Arabidopsis thaliana: one gene and its partners. The main gene of each other region encodes a partner of the protein of the gene in region 2 in a complex. Each region holds a gene or a part of one and is shown on either strand. Other genes may lie near its edges.

Region 1 (7,680 bases), on a different chromosome or scaffold from region 2:
ATAGGTAAAAGAAGTCTAGCAAAATCCACTTATCCAGGAAAACTTGATCATCTGGTTGCTGGAGGATTGGTAAGATTTCTCATTTACTTGTCGATTATACATCATGTTGTAGAATGTCCTATATATACCAGATAATAATAATTCTTATTTGAGGGAATCGAAATGCACATTTTTATTCGGTCATTTGGTGCATAGCCTCACGGGATTAGCGTTTGTGAGAATCTAGTAAAGGAATGCGAAGAGGAAGCTGGGATTTCCAAAGTCTTGGCTGATAGGTAAGACACTGAGCCATGCTTTATGTGGTGTTGGAAAGGCATATTTGCCCAAGTCCACACAAAAAAATTCTAAAACTAAAAAAGGCTACGAAAGTGCTAATTCCTTGTGTAAAATATGTATCTCAGCAAATTCCTTGTGTACAATATCATCAGTATATTGCAACAACCTTTTACTATGATTTGAACTAAAAACTTCATAAAAAATTCGCTTAAAAATCAAGATAGTTATGACTTAATAGTTTAAATAAAATTTGGTCCCAGCTGGTCAAAAAGTTTTTGGGGTGGATGCCACATTATTTGATTCACCCAAGTGTATGTGTACATTCTGCTCAGTATTTAACAAAGTAGTACCTATATAGCTCTCTTGATATTTTCCAACCTCTTGCATTTTTGTGTATTCTTAAAGGGCGATTGCGGTCGGTGTTGTTTCCTACATGGATATCGATCGGTACTGTTTCACACGTGATGTGCTGTTTTGTTATGATTTGGAACTCCCTCAAGATTTTGTTCCCACAAATCAAGGTTAGGCAATAACTAGTAAAGCAATCAGTAATCTTGCTCAGATAGACAGGTAGATATACTTTGTCATAGCATAGTAATCTTAATTACATTGCAGATGGAGAAGTTGACAGCTTCAGGTTGATTCCAGTCGCTCAAGTTGCTAATGTGGTTCGGAAGACTAGTTTTTTTAAGGACAGTTGTTCCCTGGTCATTATTGACTTCTTGTTTCGGCACGGGTACTCACTCTTTTCTCCCAAAATTTCTACCTCAGAAGAAACATGTTACTTACCATTATATATTGCGGGACTTTTATGCTCTCGCCGCGGATAGTAACATCCTTATGAGCAATCTCCAATTCCCTTTGGCAATACATTCTGTTCCATTTTGTCTATGCAGGTTAATCAGACCAGAGTCACCGGGTTACTTGGATCTATACCGACGCCTGAGGAATGGAGATTGCTCATAAGGACGTTACTTTCTATCTAATGTTTTAAAGAAAAAGCTCACTCTCTAATAAATTAATATTAGATACTCTGACTATGTAATAAGACTCATGCATGTATATAATATTCAGAGTCTTCATGTGCCTTCATGAACATATATATACCAATCAAGGAAGTTATAAAACTTCATTTATACAAATGAGCAAAACAAGTTCACAATTTAATTGTTCTCTTCAAACAGAGTTATTGATTTTTAGCATCAGAAAGCTAATCCAATTGTGTGAAGCAAACACTAATTATTTTCATCGTTATCCATTCGAATTCTTGTAACGATATGATGAAAGTACACTAAGATTGACATTTCAACCTCAACAACTTTCTACTTGCTTAGAAGTCTTCATGACCCCTAACAGCCTTTTCCAATAGGATGCCAAAAGTTAGTATTAAAAAATCCCCCGGACATAAAGGAACACCATTGCTTGAGATCCTCCAAGTTTAGAAACCTCCTAAATCTGCTCCTATGAAATCGTGATTTCAAACAATTTGTACTATAAAGGAAAAAGTGGAATTTTACAAGAGAGATCGTTCTCCTCCTCGTCATGAACACCTTCATCAATGTTTAAGAACATCTTTCTTCTAAACCAAGCAATATCTATTTATGGATAAAAGAAGGGAGGCATGCTCTCTAATTTTTTTATAAAATCTTGTTTCTTTTCTTTTATCCAACTATTACTAAATCATCGATCTTTATGATGTCTGAGTTACAATCGAGACATGTTGAGCTTTCATCGGTTAATGCGCGTTTTATAGAATGGGGAAAATTAACCGATGCAATCTCAACATCGATCTCATTGTTCTTTTTTTTTTTTCCGGAAATATTTGGTTCCCTAAGCAAATTATATGTTTATCTAACGAGTTTTATTCTTGGATACAGAATGCTGCATGGACTCCAGTTCCACAGTTCGGAGGGTGGGACCAAAAAGGACCAAATGATGCTACAAACTACTCGGTTGTCTTTTCTAAAGCTCGCGCAAACAGGAAGCAGAACAAAGCTGGTGTAAGACATTCTAGTTTGGGAAGCGAACAAGAACTCATGGTAAGTGTTCGTCGCAACCACCAACAACTTCACCATCGCCATGAAACTCAAGACGATGACCCTGTCATGGTAATTAAATTATCTCTCTCTACTTACTCTTCCATGGATTCTTTGGTTCATATTCACCTTGTGATGATCCTTTTCCCCTTAGTCAACGCGCATGGATCATCACAAGGTGGTATAACAATTCAGGAATTGATTTTCTCTTTGCGTCTTTTGTTTGTTTTGTGTTTTTGCATGCGCCTAAAAAGAATATTTCATTCCATTTCTTTCTTAACTCAGAGACATAATTGAACCATGAATGTTATTCAACTTAATTATGAGTTAATACATGCATCATAGTATCAGGTCTCATTTATGAATATGTAATGATAGTGTATCTTTAAATTTGATGTTATAGTGTATTGGCTTGCAGTTTGTTTCCATGGTTTTGAAATGATGTGTTTTGTTCGAACAATGAATTTATAGTTCGTTTCCATTTTCCCATTTTCTACTTTCTTTTTATTTGTTAGGAAAACTTTGTTTTTTTTTTTGCATTTTTTCCATAACATTTCAATAAGCAACCATATTTTAACATTATATTCCCACCTAAGCTAAATTTCATTACTTCTATTGTTAGATAAAAATATAATTAAACCAACTAAAAGTCTGAATCATATTATAATCTTTGCATTATGTTTTAACTATATGTTGGGAGTTACATAAATTTGTTTTGCTTGGAGCCTCCAAACTTTGAAGAGGCAAACATGAACGAAATGTACACTGCTTTTCTAGAGCGAATATGAAAACTCCATCTCTAGTTTGTATAACAGTCGAAATCACCTTGTTATACGAAGCATTATGCAATATGTGAAATGTATTAAGAGGAAGCATGTTGTCACCGTCATAAGTCTCTCTAACATTACTAATTTAATTACCATGCAGAAGAAGAAGAGGATCTTGACCTACATTAATTGTTGTATAAGGCCAAACTAGGGCTTTGTTCTTCTACAAAGTCGGAATCTTTCTCTCTTCAGCGATATAGCAAATATGTCTCAAGTGTGTAAAGACAGTAGTGTAACGTTTCTGTAATCTTCTTTATCACACACAAAAAAAAAAAACGTTCTGTTCTATGTGCATCATCTATTAAGATACCCCTGGTTGTGTTGTGTTGTGATACATTTTGACTTCTTCCTACATCATACGAGAACAAAATAAAACATGACTTAACCAAACCGTCAGATGCAGAATCCATTTAACTAATCTTCGATAAATTGAGAATTGTCGGATGATCATAGTTTTAGAAACAAGAGTTAAGAAATCATGCATTGATTGCTGGTACGATTTGGCCATTTGGGTGATTTTAGCTTTGGTTAATCATTCTCCAACTTCAATATAAAGGATCCGAACAATAGCAATGACTAAACGAATCACTTTTTGGCCTTAGCAAATTGGTCTTAATTATTTGGCCACAAATACACATACATATGACCATATGAAAAACAGTGGCTATCTTGCAACTGAGTGCCACCACCTAATCGTGGCCATATCCACTAACAAGTTGACCACCGTCTTAATCGGTGGCTATTGACGATTGCAACAAAAATTATTTGACGGCTATATTAGCATTTTTTTTTTTTTTTAACTATGTGATTAAAAATGCAAATTATAAGAAAATTGAAATTTTTATTAAAATAAAAATACAAATGTAAAAAAAGTCGTTGTGAAATCTGTAAAGTTGATCATACGCACTATGAAGCGCGTGAACCCCACGCGGTAACCCGTATAAATAACAAAATTTTGGACGAAAAAAAAACAGAAGAAGAAGAAAAAGAAATCGCGATTTTATAACGCCATTGTTTGAGGAAACTCCTAATCCATTCTCAAACCCTAGTTACTTCCTTCTCGAACGTTCCTCGATATTCCCGCGGGAAATTCACGACCAAGAGCAATCCGTTTTCCAGATTAGGGTTTATATCTCTGGGTTGCGATGAGATCTGCCTCGTGAAGTCATGTATGGCGGTGATTGATCTTTGCTTCAGCTTTGTTTTCGCTTTTCGTCAAATCTTGAGCTTATTGAGCTTTGGCTTGTTTGGTTTTCAAATTCCAATAATTGCAGTTTAATCAACAACAACAAAAAAATATGGAATCAGAGAGCGTTAAGTTTGGAGGTAAATTTGGTTTCCAAGCTTTGATTTTTGTCAAGTTTTATTATTTTGGGATTTGAGGGTCAATGAGCTTCTGGGTTTCTAAGTGCAGGTCCTAGAGAATTGGGTGGTGCACTAGATCTTATAACACAATACAAGTTGTTGCCACACCATGAATTCTTTTGCAAGAGATCACTTCCAGAGTCACTGTCAGATGCTCATTATCTTCATAATTTGGTTGGAGACACAGAGATTAGAAAAGGAGAAGGAATGCAATTAGATCAGCTTATTCCTAATGCATCACTTAGTAGCCGAGATACGAATGCTCGCATCCAACCTTTTGTTCTTGATGAACTTAAGGAGGCTTTTGAGCTTAATGATACAGCTCCTGTTGAATTGCCTCCAGTAAGAATATTGCTCTCTCTGTTTAGATTTTAACTTCCTGTAACATCTAGATCTTTTACTAACCATGATAAGTTGAATTACTTCCAAGTATCTTGTGATGATAGTTGAGCTAGGTTTGAGAATATGAGATCTCCTGTTCTTATTTCAGGCAGAGAAGGGAGCTCCTACCACTGTATCAAAATCAAAAAGTGAGTCAAAAGATAAGGATAGGAAACATAGAAAACATAAAGACAAGAAGGAGAAAGATAGGGAACATAAGAAGCACAAGCACAAGCATAAAGATAGGATCAAAGATAAGGATAAAGACAAGGATCGAGACAAAAAGAAGGAAAAAAGTGGACACCATGATAAGGTTATAAAACTGTCTGCTCTTGTTGGTACCTAGGCCGTCTATATATGTATATTTTGGATTCTTAAATTCGATAGAATTGACGTGGTATACGCTATCACTTTACTTTCAGAAAAGGAAGAACAATGGGACTGAAGATGCTGATGACGTTCAGAGGCACAAAAAGAGTAAGGTAATATACTAATGGCAATGGAGGCATCTCCTTCTTTTTAGTGAAGCTGAATTTAGAAGTTTCTGGTTACTCGCACATTGGTGTTGCTCTGCAAATTTTATTTTTGTCGGCCCTAAAATTAACTTTTTTGCAGCATAAGAGCTCAAAGCTTGATGAGATGGGAGCGATGTAGGTTGGAGGCTGAAGCCGTGCACACTTTCATTTTTGTATTGCACACCCAAGGTGTCATGGAGAGGCTTAGAAGCAGCTAACTTTGTTAGGTAACTCGGTCACTAGAGTCATCTTCTCATCTTTAGATAACGCACGTTTCTCATATGGGGCTGCGTCTGTCATAACCAACGGTACTGTACATGATGAATATGATTGAGTCAACAAAGCTATGGTTGTTTTAAACATGAAGAAATAATTATTGTCTAAGGCTTATAAGAAGATAACCTGGAACTCTAGCGACCGAGAGTGCACTAACTTTATTTTGGAGTCTCAAATAATTAGAAATGTTTCTATATGGTGTAGATTTGTCTCAACATAACATAAAATGATTTGGATTTGGTTTTGCAGGTTTAATCTCTAAATAAAAATTGCATTGTGGGAGAAGTTAGGAGGGGTTAAGCAACGAAAAGTTCGCCAAGAAGAATCACAACTTGTACATTTTGTTACACTTTAAACAAGCTATGAAGTTTATCTATTCTCGTGACTATTTAAACAGAAAGGTTTCATACATTCGAAATCATTTACTCTGAAATTTATCGAATCTGAAGGCATGTGACTTTTTGGGTGTATTCGTCTCTATGGAAATACCAAAAACAAAATTTAGATCTTTCAGGAAAGTGTTTTATCTCGAACAAAAGAGTAAATAATGAGAAGAACAAAAAAAGACATATGTAATATAACCAACGGAACAGAGAGAAGGGTCAGTGGCTGACAAAGTGTTTCAAGACTTCATGTATATGTAATGAATAGCAAAAGATCAAACTCTATCAGTAAAAGATACTAACGGAAAATCTCAAACTCTTAATCAACAAAACCCTTAGTGGGAAACTTTCCAATCCTTCACACTCTTCTCTCCTACCAAACGAATGACTAAGTAATGCTGCTTTTCATTTTAAAAAAGCGTTCCAAGATGTGACCTCATTTGCTTATCCTTCCTTTTCATTTTCTAGCAAAGGTCTCTCCTTTGTGCTCACTCCCGGCACAAACAACATACCCTGCTTCCACCTATAAAACCAATTGATGTTTTGATTATGGAATCTGTAAAAGCATTGATACGTAGGGGACACTGTATTATGAAAACTGAAGGGGGTAACGTACTTGGCAGTCTCTTAGAGTAACACGCTCTTGAAGCTGTGCGTTGCTGCAAATGACTGAGCCTTGTATTGAACATCCGTCTCCAATTGTGGCATGGTCCATCACAACTGAATTAACAATCTGCACCCACATATACAAGCAGTTGAGTGTCTTTTCGAGATGTACACCACCTTTCTTTGGCTGGCTTGAGTAAAAAGCTAATTATTACCTTCACATTGGAGCCTATCCGGCAATGTCTCCCAATTACAGATCTTTTGACACTGCATTTATCACCGACTTGAGAGCCTTCTCCAAGCATACAATGAGGTCCAACCTGCAACCCAAAAATTGTTATTCACGATCACAACTCACAGAACAAATGCTCAATATCTACACATGTAGAGTTACGTACTGTGGTTTTCGATCCAAGCTCAGCTGATGGGTGGACAATGTTGTGATGAGCAGAAAAGGAGTATCCAGATAGGTGGTTTGATTCACCAATAACCTGCACAAGTTTGAACAATTGCGGAGCTTCATAAGTCAACTGAGAAAAAAATACTGGAGAAGGAATCCCATGTGTAAACAACTTACATCTCTGTTTACGTCCATGAAGGCTTGAATGCTATTCAAGCGGACGAAATACTTACTTTCATCCGCTATATAAACACAGCATTTATGGGTTTTCCGGGTACCCAGACCTGATTCATAGACTTGATGAAAGCTTGGCATGGATGCGTTGGAGAGAATTTGAGACAAGACCACCTCGTTGTTCTGCATATTATTTTTTCCATTTCCATTCCCATTTTCTTCTACATTACTTTGGTCAGAGAAGACATCTGATCTCTGATACTCAAGGGGAAACCGCACAAATAAGGAATCAAAATGGTAATAAAAAAAAAATGGTCATTTGCAAGGACCGTATCCGACTAACCAGCTGTGTACGAACAAGATACGGTAGTACATCCTGTTTTAGGCTCCTAAAAGCAGGTTTTTGATCCAAAACTTCCTGCAGAACTGCTCTGTAAGACA
Region 2 (6,545 bases):
ACTTGATAATGCACAATGCCTTAAACTTGGATGGTTAAATCCTTAAACCATTTTTTCAAATACTCTGTTTTCCTTTTACAAAGAAACTTTTGTCAATATTACTCTGTTTAGTGCTCAGTTGTGTATATTTTTCCTTATTTTTTTAGCTGTTAAGGGTTATTATTGCTTTCGATAAGCAGAGTGATCTTTTTGCACTTGCTCTCGCACATATATACAAGTGCTTCTCTTTATTTTATTTTTATCTAAAATAAGGTGTCAGGAACAAGAAACAAACCTCTTTACAAAACTGAAACATCAGAGCACTGTTTACTTTCCCTTCTACATACTAACAGGTTGTGATGCAGTTGGTTAGTCCACGGAAGACAACTTTCATGTTTGTCATATGAGATAAAACAGAGACGGGTATGTTCTTTCGAACCCCATTGTTGAGTCTAACGAGAATGGTTGATTTTTCCATGGTTACGATACTTTTTTCCGCCATCAAGCTTAATCCAAGGTTACACAACCAACAGAGTAAGCAGCAGTGTTTAACGTCTTCATCAAGCTATATCTTCAAGATAAACCGTTTCCAACAACACGAAAGATGACTAGAGAAAGCCAGCTGAGATGCGATATCAATCTTTAAATTCCATTCACCTCTCTTTTTGGTGTTGATCAGAAGGAATCAAATGTATATATTATTCATATACATATATGTATCTCGAGAACCGCTGGTTATGTTGCATGTGCCAAGAGTATAGAAAAAGTGGTCTTGTAGACAAAGATTTTGACTTTGTTTGATGCAGACAAAACATCGTGGTCTATTGTAATCTTCTTTCTAGGTGGTATAAACATGAAAAAGGACAGCTTCTGATGAGACAAGAGGAGGAAATTACGAAAGGAAGAGGTACAAAATCGATTCTCTTAAATTCCAGCGGACAAAACACAAAGCCTTAAAAGTATCTAGTGGACCTTAGTAAAAGCCCAAATGATGGAGCGTGCTTGATTGAGGCATAGTACATATGTCATCATAAGATGAAGATTTTGAAATCACCAAGCAGAGTCAAAATCTAGGGCAATGACAAAACGTAAGCAGCAGGATACAAAAGAAAACCTAACCCTAACCGTATTTGAATCCAATAAACGATGTTCAAACTCTGGAGGAGAATACTTTGATCGAATCCCTGCAGATTTGGTCATCAAAATCTTATCGAAATTGTCTGCAAAGTCTATGGCCAAGTGTCGTTGTGTATGTAAGCTCTTGTCGTCGATAATTCGACAACCAAATTATAACCAGTTGTTCCCGATCAAGTATCCCGATCCACCGAGGTTCATCTTCACCTTCTTAGGTGGAGGAATGTTATTTTCCTACACTTCAACACAGCCTGAAAATCCAGATGAGAATTCATCTCTTGTAGCCACTGCTCATCATCATACGGATATCCCTAGAGATTTCTCTCAAATCCTTAGCTCTGTCCACGGACTGGTCTGTTATCACCGTAAGATAAAAAATGACACAGTTTTTGTGATTTATAATCCCATCACAGGGCAGTACGTAACCTTACCCATATTGGAAGCACATGCGACAATAAACTATTTCGCCATCGGGTATGATCCAATCAACAAACGGTTCAAGGTATTGTGTGTAACCTCGGTGCATCATGGAACAGGGGAGGAGTTTGATAGTCAGCATCAAGTTCTCACATTCGAGACTGGAAGGAGAAATCTATTTTGGAGGAAGATCCAATGTCGCAGACATTATTATACCCACCGTTATCATAAGGGGATATGCATCAAAGGTGTTTTGTATTATGCAGCAACCTCTATGAAACCTATGTTGGGACCTATGATCGTTTGCTTTGACGTTAGGTCTGAGAAATTTGGTTTTATTACTTGGAAACCTCCCTCTCTGATAAACTACAAGGGTAAATTAGGTTCAATAAATAGTAATGATAACGATTTGGTGTTGTGGGTTTTAGAGCATGGCCAGGAACGTAAATGGTCAAAGCATATCTACGTAAAGCCCCTTCAATGGCCGGAGTTCAATGGAATTGATGTAAACTTTTTAGTTACTAGTAAAGGTGAAGCTGTATTCTGCCCAAATCACTATGATCCACAAGTTCCTTTTTACCTTTATTACTACAATCTCGAGGAGAACATTGTGGTAAGAGTAAGAGTTGAAGTTCCAGAATCTCAAGGTTCTAAACGGGTTTTGTTTCATGCTGTTCCAAACTATCTAGAGAATATGAAGCTTACGTGAGTGTTTTATTGGGTTTTTTTTTTACCTGTTTAAGACTATTATCATGATTTCAAAATAGTGAGTAGGGATAGATTAGAAGTCGGTGTTTTTATTTCTTTTTAAAAGACTAATAGATGTGGCTTCAATGGTGTTTTGTTTTATATTTGGAGGATCATTGTGGAATAATGGTTGAATTTTCCATGGTCGCTACAATGCTTTTTCTACTCTGTTCTGAATCTAAATCACAAAACCACTCACTATGTTCAACAACTACCTGGGCTTATATCGTTTTTGGGTTGAGCTTTCTGTTGCATGTCCCACATACAAAGATTTTGGTTTGGTTTGATGCAGACAAAACACATTATGCATTGTGATCTATTTGTAATCCGAAGAATGAATTTTCTTGAAGAAAACCACATTCTCTTTATTATGTGAATCAAGATTGGTTTATTGATAACAATTATTGGTCTTAAGTAGCTAAACAGTTGCTGAATCAAAATATGAGAAACTAATGCTCCATTGTCACAATCTCTTCAATAGATTTCCTATACTCCACAATCAAATCCCTGACCAGAAGACATTTAACAACAAAAGAGTAAGAGCACGATCACAATCTGATCAGATAAAACATGATACTAACAATCTAGCTAACCTTCTCTGTTGAAGCAATTGCTCACTTTCTTCAACATTTCTCTTTTGGCCATCAACAGTCTATAAAACACAGAGAGAGAGAGAGATCCATAAGAAACAAAAGATTAAACAGAACCAATACAGAGATCCAAAATGTTACCATAGTTTTAGATCCTAGTGATCCTGAAATCGAATTCAGCAACTGTTGACACTTGTCGAAATGGCTATTCAATTCATTCACCTGCAAATCCCACAATTTCAACATCATCCAATAAGAAACCCTAGAAATCTCAAAACCACTTTAAAAGACTTGATTTTTAACAAACCAGGGCGTCAGAATTCTGATCTCGTGTTCCATTTTCGATCACATCAGCTAATTTCTCCACCATCTGCGTCATTAACACGAAATTAGAACCCCCAACGATTCCAATTTCATCAATTTTCTTTGTTTCTCTTACCGGATAGAGATGGAAATGAGAAGCTAAAGACTGATGCTGTTGAGGAGTCTGCACCGGAGTTTGAACCAACTGTTGTTGTTGCTGCGGTGTATGCATCATAGATTGAGGCGTGTGAACCATCGTCTGTTGCGGCGGAGGTGATTGTAACGACTGTGGCTGAAGAGGAGGAGATTGTAACAACCGTTGTTGTTGTTGGAATTGCTGTTGTTGGATGAAGTGTTGCTGTTGTTGGAATTGCTGATATTGTTGCATCTCTTGTTGTTGTTGTGGCTGGAATTGTTGTTGTTGCTGCTGCGTCTGTTGTTGTTGTTGAAGATGAAACTGTTGTTGTTGTTGTTGTTGTTGTTGTTGTTGTAATTGTTGTTGCTGGAGGAATAGTTGCTGGTCATGATTCGTCGGTGTACCGAAGTTACCTTGCGCCTGCACGTTTGGGATCATCGACCAATTACCTCCTCCTCCTGAGAATTGATCCATTTTTTCTCCTTCCGATCTCGCTAATTCTCCTTCTCGTCGCCGTCGTCGTCTATTAAAACTTAAAAGAACGAAGAAGAGACAAAAGTGGGAACTTAAACGATGTCGTGTTTTGACCAAAAAAAAAAAAAAATGATGTCGTGTCATGATAAAACGAAGTTGTTCTCAGTTAAGGTTTTGTTTGTAATTTACAATCGTAAAACGCCGTCGTTTCAGTATCAATCTCTTCTTCTTCTTCTTCCTCTCAAACCGAATGTTCTTCTTGGTCGGTCACAATCTGTTCTGCACGAGCACTGCACAATCACTTGGAGTCTGTGAATTTCACATCTGAAAGAAATACAAACTCCCATAGTTTTCAATTTTCACGATCTCCGAATTTCACGACTTTGATACTTGGTTTCTTTGCACATTCACGTAAGCTCCAATTCTTCCTTCTCTTCTTTTGGCAATTGATTCACATCGAATAGTGTTGCGTTGACGAGTTCTTCGTTACAGATATTGTGTATTATGGCTGTTAAAATTGAATTTGAATTGTTAGTATTAGCAAAGTAATACAAAGTTTGTTCCTTTAACTAATTTAACCAGCTTCTGTTCTCATGAACAAGTTTGTGCCTTAGATAAGTCAGATTTTTTACACTACTTGATGTACAGTAAATTTACTTGTCTTTCTCTTTAGGCGACGAAGATGAGGCTGTTGAAGGTTGCTACGTGTAACTTGAACCAATGGGCCATGGATTTCGAGAGCAACATGAAGAACATCAAGGCTTCGATCGCTGAGGCAAAGGCTGCTGGTGCTGTTATCAGGCTTGGACCCGAGCTCGAGGTCACTGGCTATGGTTGCGAGGATCACTTCTTGGAACTCGACACTGTCACTCATGCGTAAGCTTCTATTTTTAGTTTTCTATTTCGATGATGAATGGCATGAATGACTTGGTACTATCACTTTAGATGATGGAATTAATTTCTTTTTCTTCTGAATTTAGTTATCGGAATCATGTTTAACCGTTTCTTCTTATGTTCATGTGAATATCTTCTTTCAGGTGGGAGTGTTTGAAGGAATTGCTGCTTGGTGATTGGACGGATGATATTTTGTGCAGCATAGGAATGCCTGTGATTAAAGGAGCAGAGCGTTATAACTGCCAGGTTCTCTGTATGAACAGAAGAATCATCATGATTCGACCGAAAATGTGGCTCGCAAACGATGGAAACTATAGGGAGCTACGGTGGTTCACAGCTTGGAAGCAGAGAGAAGAGCTAGAGGAATTTCAGCTCCCCATTGAAATTTCAGAGGCTTTGGAGCAGAAATCAGTCCCTTTTGGTTATGGTTACATCCAGTTTATCGACACGTGAGTTTGGATAAATGCTTCCATTTCAACACTGTCAATGATTTTGTCTGCTTAACTGTATCAGTTATATTTCCTTATCAGGGCTGTTGCAGCTGAAGTCTGTGAGGAACTGTTTAGTCCACTTCCTCCTCATGCCGAGCTCGCATTGAATGGTGTTGAAGTATTTATGAATGCAAGTGGGAGTCATCACCAACTTAGGAAACTAGATATTCGTCTGAATGCTTTTATGGGGGCTACTCATGCTCGTGGTGGGGTGTATATGTACAGTAATCAACAAGGATGCGATGGTAGCCGCTTATACTACGGTATGTTTGACAACCCTTAAAATTATTGAAAGTATCATTTTTGAGTAAATCATATCTACTTTTTTGAGTGAGATTTGTTCATTTGTAACCAAGTGCAGATGGATGTGCATGTATTGTTGTAAACGGGAATGTTGTTGCTCAAGGCTCACAATTCTCGTTGAGAGACGTTGAGGTCATCATTTCACAAGTGGATCTTGATGCGGTATCCCACAGTTACCCTTTGGCTTTACTTTCTTCTGTTTTGTGATATATAAATGAAAAGTTCTTAGGATCATCTTGCTTATTTGTCTTGAGAAAGGTTGCTAGCCTTCGTGGATCTATAAGTAGCTTTCAGGAACAAGCAAGCTGCAAGGTTAAAGTATCTTCAGTAGCTGTGCCCTGTAGACTTACACAGTCCTTCAACCTGAAAATGACACTAAGCAGTCCGAAGAAGGTTCTCCATCCTTGAGTATTTGATGTTAAGTTAACATCTAAAATTTTCCACTCTAATATACATTAGTAATGTAGATCATTTACCACTCTCCACAAGAAGAAATAGCCTTTGGTCCCGCTTGCTGGATGTGGGACTATTTGAGAAGAAGTGGCGCTTCAGGATTTTTGCTTCCTCTTTCTGGCGGAGCAGACAGCTCCTCCGTGGCAGCTATTGTTGGCTGCATGTGCCAACTTGTTGTTAAAGGTACACTGGCGCTTTTTTCTATGTATGTTGAACTGTGTTTTGTCTTGTTGAAATTTCATGATATTGAGTTCTCTCAGAGTATATTTTCTTTCTTGTTTAGAGATTGCAAAGGGAGATGAGCAAGTAAAAGCTGATGCGAACCGAATTGGGAATTATGCTAATGGGCAGTTTCCTACTGATAGCAAAGAGTTTGCCAAACGAATATTTTACACTGTCTTTATGGGTTCTGAAAACAGGTGAATTAGTTAATAAGAGCAAAGAGAATATGATTTTTCGTCACTGTGTGGATTTACAGCAGAGATGAAACTTTTTTCCCCATATTGAAATCTTAAATTTGCAGTTCTGAGGAGACAAAAAGGCGTTCAAAGCAGCTGGCAGACGAGATTGGTGCTTGGCATCTTGATGTTTGCATAGATGGTGTTGTCTCTGCAGTTTTATCAT
Region 3 (8,137 bases), on a different chromosome or scaffold from region 2:
TTCAAATGTAAGATTGAATCATCATTTGATAGGAATTCTTAGAGTAACTGATTCAATTACACAGATATAGAAAACTTATCAAAATCAGACCTTTATGCCACTTGCATTTGATGCTTCAAACACAATATACGTGTCTTTAGAGAGCAACCCTCTTTCAATGCCGTTCGTGTGATCCTGACCCTCAACATCCGCTCGATTGACCGTAAGAATGTAATTAGTTCCATGATACTCAAATGTCGCTTTCTGGCCTACAGTCAAGACCTGCAGCAGTGTGAATTGGTTCAATAAATTAGGCTACTATGATTTTGTGAGGATCTAAAGGCCAAATAACCATATAAGTGATACCACATATGAAATAAATGAGTAAATATAACTGTAAGCAGAATATTATAAGATTTGCAGAATGGTCAACCAAATGCATTCAATAAAAACCAATGGTTCAGCAGAAAAATAAGGTAAATGACAAGATCCATGTACACATTGCTACAAATGGAAACTATACCAGCTAATCTGTTTTATTTAGACCTTATCTGTTTAGAAATCACAGTTCTCTCGTTTTGCCTCTCAGATGCATGCTTAAACCACAGCACAAGACATGTATATCTTCAGAAACCAAACATGTAACATTGGTTCAATAAATTAGACTAATACGATTTTGTGAGGATCTAAAGGCCAAATAACCATATAAGTGATACCACATAATCAAGAAATACATGAGTAAATATCTGTAAGCATAATATTACAGGATTTGCAGAATGGTCACCAAATGCATTCACTGAAAACCAATGCTTCAGCAGAAAAATAAGGTAAATGACAAGATCCATGTACACATTGCTACAAATGGAAACTATATAAAACAGATTAGCTCGTATAGTTTCCATTTCCCATATAAAACAAATGGAAACCAATGCGTGCCTTATCTGTTTAGAAACCACAGTACTCTCATTTTGCCTCTCAGATGCATGCTTAAACCACAGCACGAGATGCATGTATCTTTGAAAACCAAACATCTAACAATAACAGAGACAGCAGAACAAGAATATCTCTACCTGGTTGGTGTATTTCCTCTTAAGCTGGGTCGAAAGGAGAGCAGCATCAACCTGTAAAGTAATATTGTACAGAGAAGTTGAGTTCAATCACAAAGCCTACAAATATCTCAAGAAACACATCATAGACATCAAACAAACCTGCTCGCTTTTAGTTCCTTTCTTCACAAATTCCAACTCCAGCGTCAGCATAGCCAGATCAAAATTTTCAGGAGGAACAAATCTGCAAGAACAAGACAATATTCAGAAACCAAAAACGTATTCATGCCAGAAAATTAATATAAAAACAAGCTGTATAATCACCTGCTAACAGATACCATATCACCAGTCGAAACTCTAGCGTGTCGCCTTTGAATAGCATTGAGAGCAATATTTCCATCACGGATGCTTCCATGTCCAGTAATCACCAGTTAAGTTCACAAAAATCGAAATAAATGACACAATGAACAAGTTCAACATTGTCACCGACCAAAGGAGCCTAGATTTCTATAATCCATGAAAACCAGAAAAACCTAACTTGTACTACGATCATAGATCAATCAATCATTATAAGAACCATTCATAAGGCCGAGATTCAAATTCGAAGATCGATTTTGGTAAATTTAGCAGTAATTAGCCATATCACATAAACAATCAACTCCTAGGATCGCATTTCGCATTGCAATGTAAGAAATGAATCGTAAAATGGAAATAAGAAAGGATATCAGAGAGAAAGAATGAAGCTATCGGCAACGTTGGCGAGGAAGAGATCGGAACCGGGAACGGAGAATTGACGGAGATCGGAAGAAGAGCAGTAAGCGAGGTTAGTAAAAGCTAGATCTGCGGACGGAGTATTGGTCACAGTCATCGTCATGACTTGCGATCCGTAACGACCCGCCATGGCTGGGGTTTCGATCTCAGGTTTCTTCGAGTCTTTTTGATTTTTGTAACCTTAACGAATAAGAAAATATTTGAGGGAGAAGCAATAAACAGAAGACTACGATTGCTTCCTTGATTTTAATAAGATCTTTTATTTTTCGAGTCCTGATCAATGTTTTGGAAACCAGACCAAACATTCCGGTTCGACCAATAGCCGTCTGAATTAAACCAAAAAGCGGTAAATTAAATCTGGTCATACCCTCTCGGCTCGGTATTAGAATCCGGTTTGCAACACAAATCATAATTCATTTTTTTTGTTGTTCTTTTCTTATTTTTTTTTTTTTTTTTCAGTCTAAATTTTAGAATACTTGCTCACTGATTATTTTGAGCAAGTCATGCATGAGACACATCCTCACAATTCAATTTGAGTTCGGATTAACCACATTTATTTATTTTTCAACAAATAGTTCAAAACTTCAATCGATGATCAATTATGTGAAACTAGAAGGTCAACACATAAAAGCTCAAAAGATCTTGGACTGTCACAGAGCAATGATAGATGATGGATGCTAATGAATGGAATAAACACAATGAGAAGGAAGATGAGGCAAAACAACCTTCACATAGGGAGATTTTTAAATTGAACAACTAGCTCAAGTAAACTTATAAGTAATGTTGTAAACATGGAATGAATAAGTTTGAAATTTGGTGCATTCTTAGATATGAGAAGGTGGTTAAAAGGGTATGGTGCAAAGACATATCCATCCCTAGTATTTAATAGATTGAAAGAAGGAATTTTTTTTTGGTTCTAGTTTAATGAGTGAAAATGAAAAAATAAATAAAAAGGCAAATGAAGATGAAGATGAACTCAAACTTTTGACTCTCTAATGTAATCTTATAAGCAAATAACCAACTTTTCTACTGAAAGTTATAAGAAAATGAGGCAAAAGTTTTATTTATATTAGGGAATTTAATGAAAAAAACCCTCAACTTTGGCCAGATCCATTTTTAAACCCTAAACTATGTTTTTAGTAAAACAAACCCTGAACTAAAACCTGTTAATAAACTTAACCCCACAGTAATTAAACAACGTTTAGGGTTAAGTTTATTAACAGGTTTTAGTTCAGGGTTTGTTTTACTAAAAACATAGTTTAGGGTTTAAAAATGGATCTGGCCAAAGTTGAGGTTTTTTTTCATTAAATTCCCTTTATATTAATTGAAGCCGCAAGCATGAGCTTGACCCGTTTGTGCTCATGGATGGCTCTGCTTGTATCTAGTTAGAAGCCGAAACAACTAGTTTTCAGTACGCTATGCATGTAACTCAAAGAATTTGGTGTAAGCAATAAGTGATTCTCATTCTTGGTCGTGCTACATTGAGGGAGATACAACAACCATGGGAAACACTTATGCCTAAGCCTAACTTTTGATTTGGGAGGAGGCAAATGAACTAATGCCTAAGCCTAATATTTTGCACAACTCTACTCGCGTGGCACCTCTTATCATCTTCAAATTGGTGGATCGTGAGCTTCGCAACCTAATCACTTCTCGACGACATCGCAAGCGTTGGCAGCGGCTAATGCTTTTATGGATTCGTTAAACACACCTAAATCTTTTCTAATTCTATTGTAGCCTTGTTTTTATTTTTTTTGCCTTGGTTACTTTTCTATAGGTTGTACGTTCTTGTATTTTCTGAACTCTCATTGTAATGATATTAACAAATTTAGCAAAAAAAAAAAAAAACTAATGTCAAACAAGGATCCTCAAATGCCAAATGTCAAATTAAGTTAGTACCTTTCCATGTTTACAAATTTGAATTTGAAGATGGTAAATTAGAAGAAAAAATGAAATTATGATCATTTTCCTTAATCAAAAGATTCAAAACTATCATTTAAAATTTACTTCTTCATTTTTTGCTCTTAAAAGAAAAAGTAAAAAATTACAAAAAGAGGGGAAAAAAATTTAGAGAGAAAGTGACCAGACACGACGGCGTTTTTGCATCACTTTCACCGAGATTTTTTTTCTGCATCCCGGCGACGAGACTGTGACTCCACCAAACCCTAAAATCAAAATTGCATTTTTTGTTCGATTTTGATTTTGTGGGGATTTTGGAATTTTCCCCGCACTAAGTCGTCTCGTTAACCCCACTTAACAGTTTCTCACTTTGACACTTTCTCTCTCTCTCAACGCACAGTGCTTTCTGTCGCCTTCAATCGCGACTTTTTGTCACACTTGCCCTCTTTTCTCCGATTTTTCTATAAATTTAGGGTTTTGTTTGCTTTCGTTGACATGAATCAGCAAAACCCAGAAGAAGAAGTTTCTTTGGTTAATAATAGCGGTGGTGGAGGAATCATCGAAGCTCCAGCTATAGTGGAGGAGAAAGAGGAAGAAGGATTACAGCAGAAGCAGGAAGAGACTATTGAGTCTACCGATCCGATTCTCGTCGTCGTTGAGGAGAAATTGTTAGAGAAATCAGTAGACGGAGAGAAAGAAGACGATAATAGTAGTAGTAGTAACATGGAGATTGATCCTGTGAGTCCGGCTACAGTTTTCTGTGTTAAGCTTAAGCAGCCCAATTCCAATTTGCTTCATAAGATGAGTGTTCCTGAATTGTGCCGTAACTTCAGGTTTGACTCTCTCTCCCATCGGAAAATCTTTAAATTTCATCAATTCCTGTAAAGTTTTCTCCTTTTCTTTGTGTTAGTGCTGTTGCGTGGTGTGGCAAATTGAATGCTATTGCTTGTGCTTCCGAGACCTGTGCCAGGATTCCAAGGTATGGTTTTTGTTACTTTTCTATGTCTTGAATGTATGGGCAGTGATGAATTTCTCAATTTTCATCTTTCTCTGTTCTCATCTCTTGCAGCTCCAAGGCAAATACACCTTTTTGGATACCAATACATATCTTGATACCTGAGCGCCCTACTGAGTGTGCGGTGTTTAATGTTGTGGCAGGTATTTTGATATCAGTTAATTATTTATGAACTCGGTTGATCTAGTGGGTGATAAACGATTATGATGCAATTTTTTATATGTAGACTCTCCTCGTGATTCTGTCCAATTTATCGAATGGTCTCCCACTTCTTGTCCTCGTGCGTTACTCATTGCTAATTTTCATGGACGTATAACTATCTGGACGCAGCCTACTCAGGTTTGTGCTCCTGATCACTGGGATTTACCTTTATATTTCTTCTTTGTCTTCTGTGTCAAGATGTTTTATGACACCCTCAGATGATTTTTTTTTTGTGGATTGGTTTTGCAGGGTTCGGCTAATTTAGTGCACGACGCTACCTCCTGGCAGTGTGAGCATGAATGGCGTCAGGACATTGCTGTTGTTACAAAGTGGCTGACAGGGGCTTCCCCAGTATGTAATCTTATGTTTTGCTTATTTGCCATTCTATCAAATGCACAGCATATTTGTCCCTTAATGAGTTCGTTAAATTAGTAATGGAGGGCTTGCATGTGAGAGTGGGCACTGGGATTACTAAATCGTGAGTAATTGAACTGGAAATGTCTCTACGTTTTGGAGGAAATGAGATGGAGAAAACACAACGTCCTGGAAATCCCAACTCTCTGTTTGCAAAATTACTAGACTCCTAAAAGATCTTCCAATTTGCGTTTCTTAGATGCATTTCTTTAATGATCGGCATGAACACATAAGGAAATGAGTAACAGATAGATAATAATGCCATTGCAAAGAACATGTTCTGAAGGACTTAATATCATGTTGTTTCTGGCCACCTAGTTTGCTGCTCTAGTTTTATCCTAGGAAATTTATCCTCTATGTTTTCTTTTTATTGATAATCAGTATAGGTGGTTGTCCTCCAAGCCAAGTTCTGGTACAAATGCAAAGTCAACTTTCGAGGAGAAATTTCTCTCGCAGAGCTCTGAAAGCTCAGGTTTTCTTCTGCGTGCCTCTTGTGACTCATTTTTTGATGATATATTCAGAATTATGCACTTAATTTTAATTATGTCAGTTCCTTTGACATCCAAATATATGTGACAAGATCAATACAACATGTTCTGACGTTAGTGCATTTTCCTCCACTTTATGTGACGGTTCTGATTCTCTACCATTTGTTGCAGCTCGGTGGCCCAACTTTCTCTGTGTATGCTCTGTTTTCTCATCCGGCTCTGTTCAAATTCATTGGTCCCAGTGGCCTTCTAACCAGGGAAGCACTGCACCAAAGTGGTTTAGTACAAAGAAAGGTCTTTTAGGTGCAGGGCCAAGTGGAATTATGGCTGCTGATGCTATTATAACAGACAGTGGTGCCATGCATGTAGCAGGAGTTCCAATTGTAAACCCTTCAACAATTGTAGTATGGGAGGTGACCCCTGGCCCTGGAAATGGACTCCAGGCGACTCCAAAAATCTCTACAGGCAGTCGTGTGCCACCATCCCTTAGTTCTTCTTCTTGGACAGGTTTTGCTCCTTTAGCTGCGTACTTGTTTAGCTGGCAAGAATACTTAATATCCGAGATAAAGCAAGGGAAGAAGCCCTCAGATCAAGATTCCAGTGATGCTATATCGCTAAGTTGCTCACCGGTTTCCAATTTTTCTGCTTATGTAAGTCCAGAGGCTGCAGCTCAGTCTGCAGCAACCACAACATGGGGATCTGGTGTTACCGCTGTTGCTTTTGATCCAACTCGTGGTGGTTCAGTGATAGCAGTTGTTATAGTTGAAGGTACTGTTCTCATCCTTCTCGGAACCTCATACTGTTTCCATGATTGAATAAACATTTTCAGGTTTACGTTTAGTTTTTGGTCAATCATTTAGAAATGCTCATATATTGAAGAGCTGCCAGATGAGAAAATGCTAATTTTGTTTGAGTGATGAAGCGCAACAGCTTCAATCTATTGTTTAAAATAAATGCTAATTGTTTGTGTCTGCAGGGCAGTACATGTCTCCGTATGATCCAGATGAAGGTCCTTCAATCACAGGCTGGAGAGTACAGCGCTGGGAATCAAGTGTTCAACCTGTTGTACTGCATCAGATATTTGGAAACCCAACTTCAAATTTTGGAGGACAGGTCCCCACGCAAACTGTCTGGGTATCCAGAGTGGATATGAGCATACCACCTACTAAAGATTTTAAGAATCATCAAGTAGCTGCAGCAGGACCAAGTGTGGATGCACCAAAGGAGCCTGATTCTGGTGATGAGAAGGCTAACAAGGTTGTATTTGATCCTTTTGATTTGCCAAGTGATATTCGGACACTTGCACGGATTGTCTATTCTGCTCATGGTGGTGAAATTGCGATTGCTTTTCTTCGTGGTGGAGTTCATATCTTTTCTGGTCCAACTTTTTCACCTGTTGAAAACTATCAAATAAATGTTGGATCTGCAATTGCTGCACCCGCATTTTCACCAACAAGCTGTTGTTCGGCTTCTGTATGGCATGATGCTGCTAAGGACTGCGCAATGTTGAAAATCATCCGTGTTCTTCCTCCTGCTCTTCCGCGTAACCAATCAAAGGTTGATCAATCAACATGGGAGCGGGCGATCGCTGAGAGGTATGTAATCTCTGGTATATATTTTCTAGCTTGTCTGCTTGCAAAGGAACTTATATTGTGACTTGAGATATGAATCTGCATTCTTTCTTAACAGATTCTGGTGGAGTCTTTTGGTCGGAGTTGATTGGTGGGATGCAGTTGGCTGCACACAGAGTGCTGCAGAGGATGGGATAGGTATACTTTAGTGCTAAGTTTCTTGATTTAAGTGTTATTTAATATCTGCAGTTGGATTTTTTTGGGTCTTTAGTTGTGGAACAACCACTGGAATTAGTTTTGCTTAGAAATATGACAGTTTGTATTTTAGTTTGGGAATAAGTTCTAGTTTTTAAAGGCTGAGTGTCATTCAAAGAACCTTTTCTCTGTTTTTCTATTTTGCTTTTATACTAAGGTTTGAATGATAGAAACTTTGAATGATAGTGGTTCAAATATTATATTGTATTGTTTGAATAATATACTGCTTAAAGCATTGGATGATGTATTTCTTTTTATGATTACAGTTTCATTGAACAGCGTGATTGCTGTCATGGATGCTGATTTTCACTCCCTTCCTTCAACACAGCACAGACAACAATATGGCCCTGTATGTTTTTACTCAACCCGAATCCAACTCATTATCTTTTTCCTTTTTAAATGTCTGAACTGTTTGCGTTGCGGTACCGTTTATTATGTCTTTGCAAAATATTTATATATATATATATATTTTTTTTTCTGGTTTTATAATGTAAAGCT

Evidence for each region.
Region 1: MED9 (region 2) and AT5G19480 share a complex: the UniProt entries of both Arabidopsis thaliana proteins name them as parts of the mediator complex.
Region 3: MED9 (region 2) and SFR6 share a complex: the UniProt entries of both Arabidopsis thaliana proteins name them as parts of the mediator complex.

What each region holds. Positions count from the first base shown.
Region 1 is NC_003076.8:6,567,391-6,575,070, forward strand, and holds AT5G19480 (mediator of RNA polymerase II transcription subunit), read left to right. Parts: upstream 1-4,110; 5' UTR 4,111-4,437; coding exon 4,438-4,465; intron 4,466-4,553; coding exon 4,554-4,846; intron 4,847-4,994; coding exon 4,995-5,198; intron 5,199-5,307; coding exon 5,308-5,367; intron 5,368-5,500; coding exon 5,501-5,539; 3' UTR 5,540-6,233; downstream 6,234-7,680. Other genes in the region: NUDT24 (nudix hydrolase homolog 24), read left to right, coding at 1-69, 196-275, 682-797, 892-1,106; AT5G19473 (RPM1-interacting protein 4 (RIN4) family protein), read left to right, coding at 2,031-2,384, 3,240-3,290; AT5G19485 (transferases/nucleotidyltransferase), read right to left, coding at 6,517-6,582, 6,676-6,792, 6,881-6,985, 7,064-7,156, 7,243-7,494, 7,583-7,670. UniProt on the Arabidopsis thaliana protein: Component of the Mediator complex, a coactivator involved in the regulated transcription of nearly all RNA polymerase II-dependent genes.
Region 2 is NC_003070.9:20,550,395-20,556,939, forward strand, and holds MED9 (mediator of RNA polymerase II transcription subunit-like protein), read right to left. Parts: upstream 3,861-6,545; 5' UTR 3,781-3,860; coding exon 3,307-3,780; intron 3,238-3,306; coding exon 3,175-3,237; intron 3,090-3,174; coding exon 3,009-3,089; coding exon of another isoform or gene 2,930-3,008; coding exon 2,871-2,929; intron 2,785-2,870; coding exon 2,727-2,784; 3' UTR 2,511-2,726; downstream 1-2,510. Other genes in the region: AT1G55070 (F-box and associated interaction domains-containing protein), read left to right, coding at 1,058-2,239; AT1G55090 (carbon-nitrogen hydrolase family protein), read left to right, coding at 4,463-4,656, 4,818-5,123, 5,205-5,428, 5,527-5,630, 5,727-5,861, 5,936-6,104, 6,205-6,340, 6,445-6,545. UniProt on the Arabidopsis thaliana protein: Component of the Mediator complex, a coactivator involved in the regulated transcription of nearly all RNA polymerase II-dependent genes.
Region 3 is NC_003075.7:2,493,741-2,501,877, forward strand, and holds the start of SFR6 (sensitive to freezing 6), read left to right. Parts: upstream 1-4,190; coding exon 4,191-4,528; intron 4,529-4,605; coding exon 4,606-4,674; intron 4,675-4,764; coding exon 4,765-4,853; intron 4,854-4,936; coding exon 4,937-5,049; intron 5,050-5,160; coding exon 5,161-5,262; intron 5,263-5,706; coding exon 5,707-5,797; intron 5,798-5,984; coding exon 5,985-6,581; intron 6,582-6,789; coding exon 6,790-7,408; intron 7,409-7,502; coding exon 7,503-7,582; intron 7,583-7,905; coding exon 7,906-7,988; intron 7,989-8,137. Other genes in the region: NSF (AAA-type ATPase family protein), read right to left, coding at 91-261, 1,050-1,100, 1,188-1,269, 1,350-1,445, 1,751-1,926. UniProt on the Arabidopsis thaliana protein: Component of the Mediator complex, a coactivator involved in the regulated transcription of nearly all RNA polymerase II-dependent genes.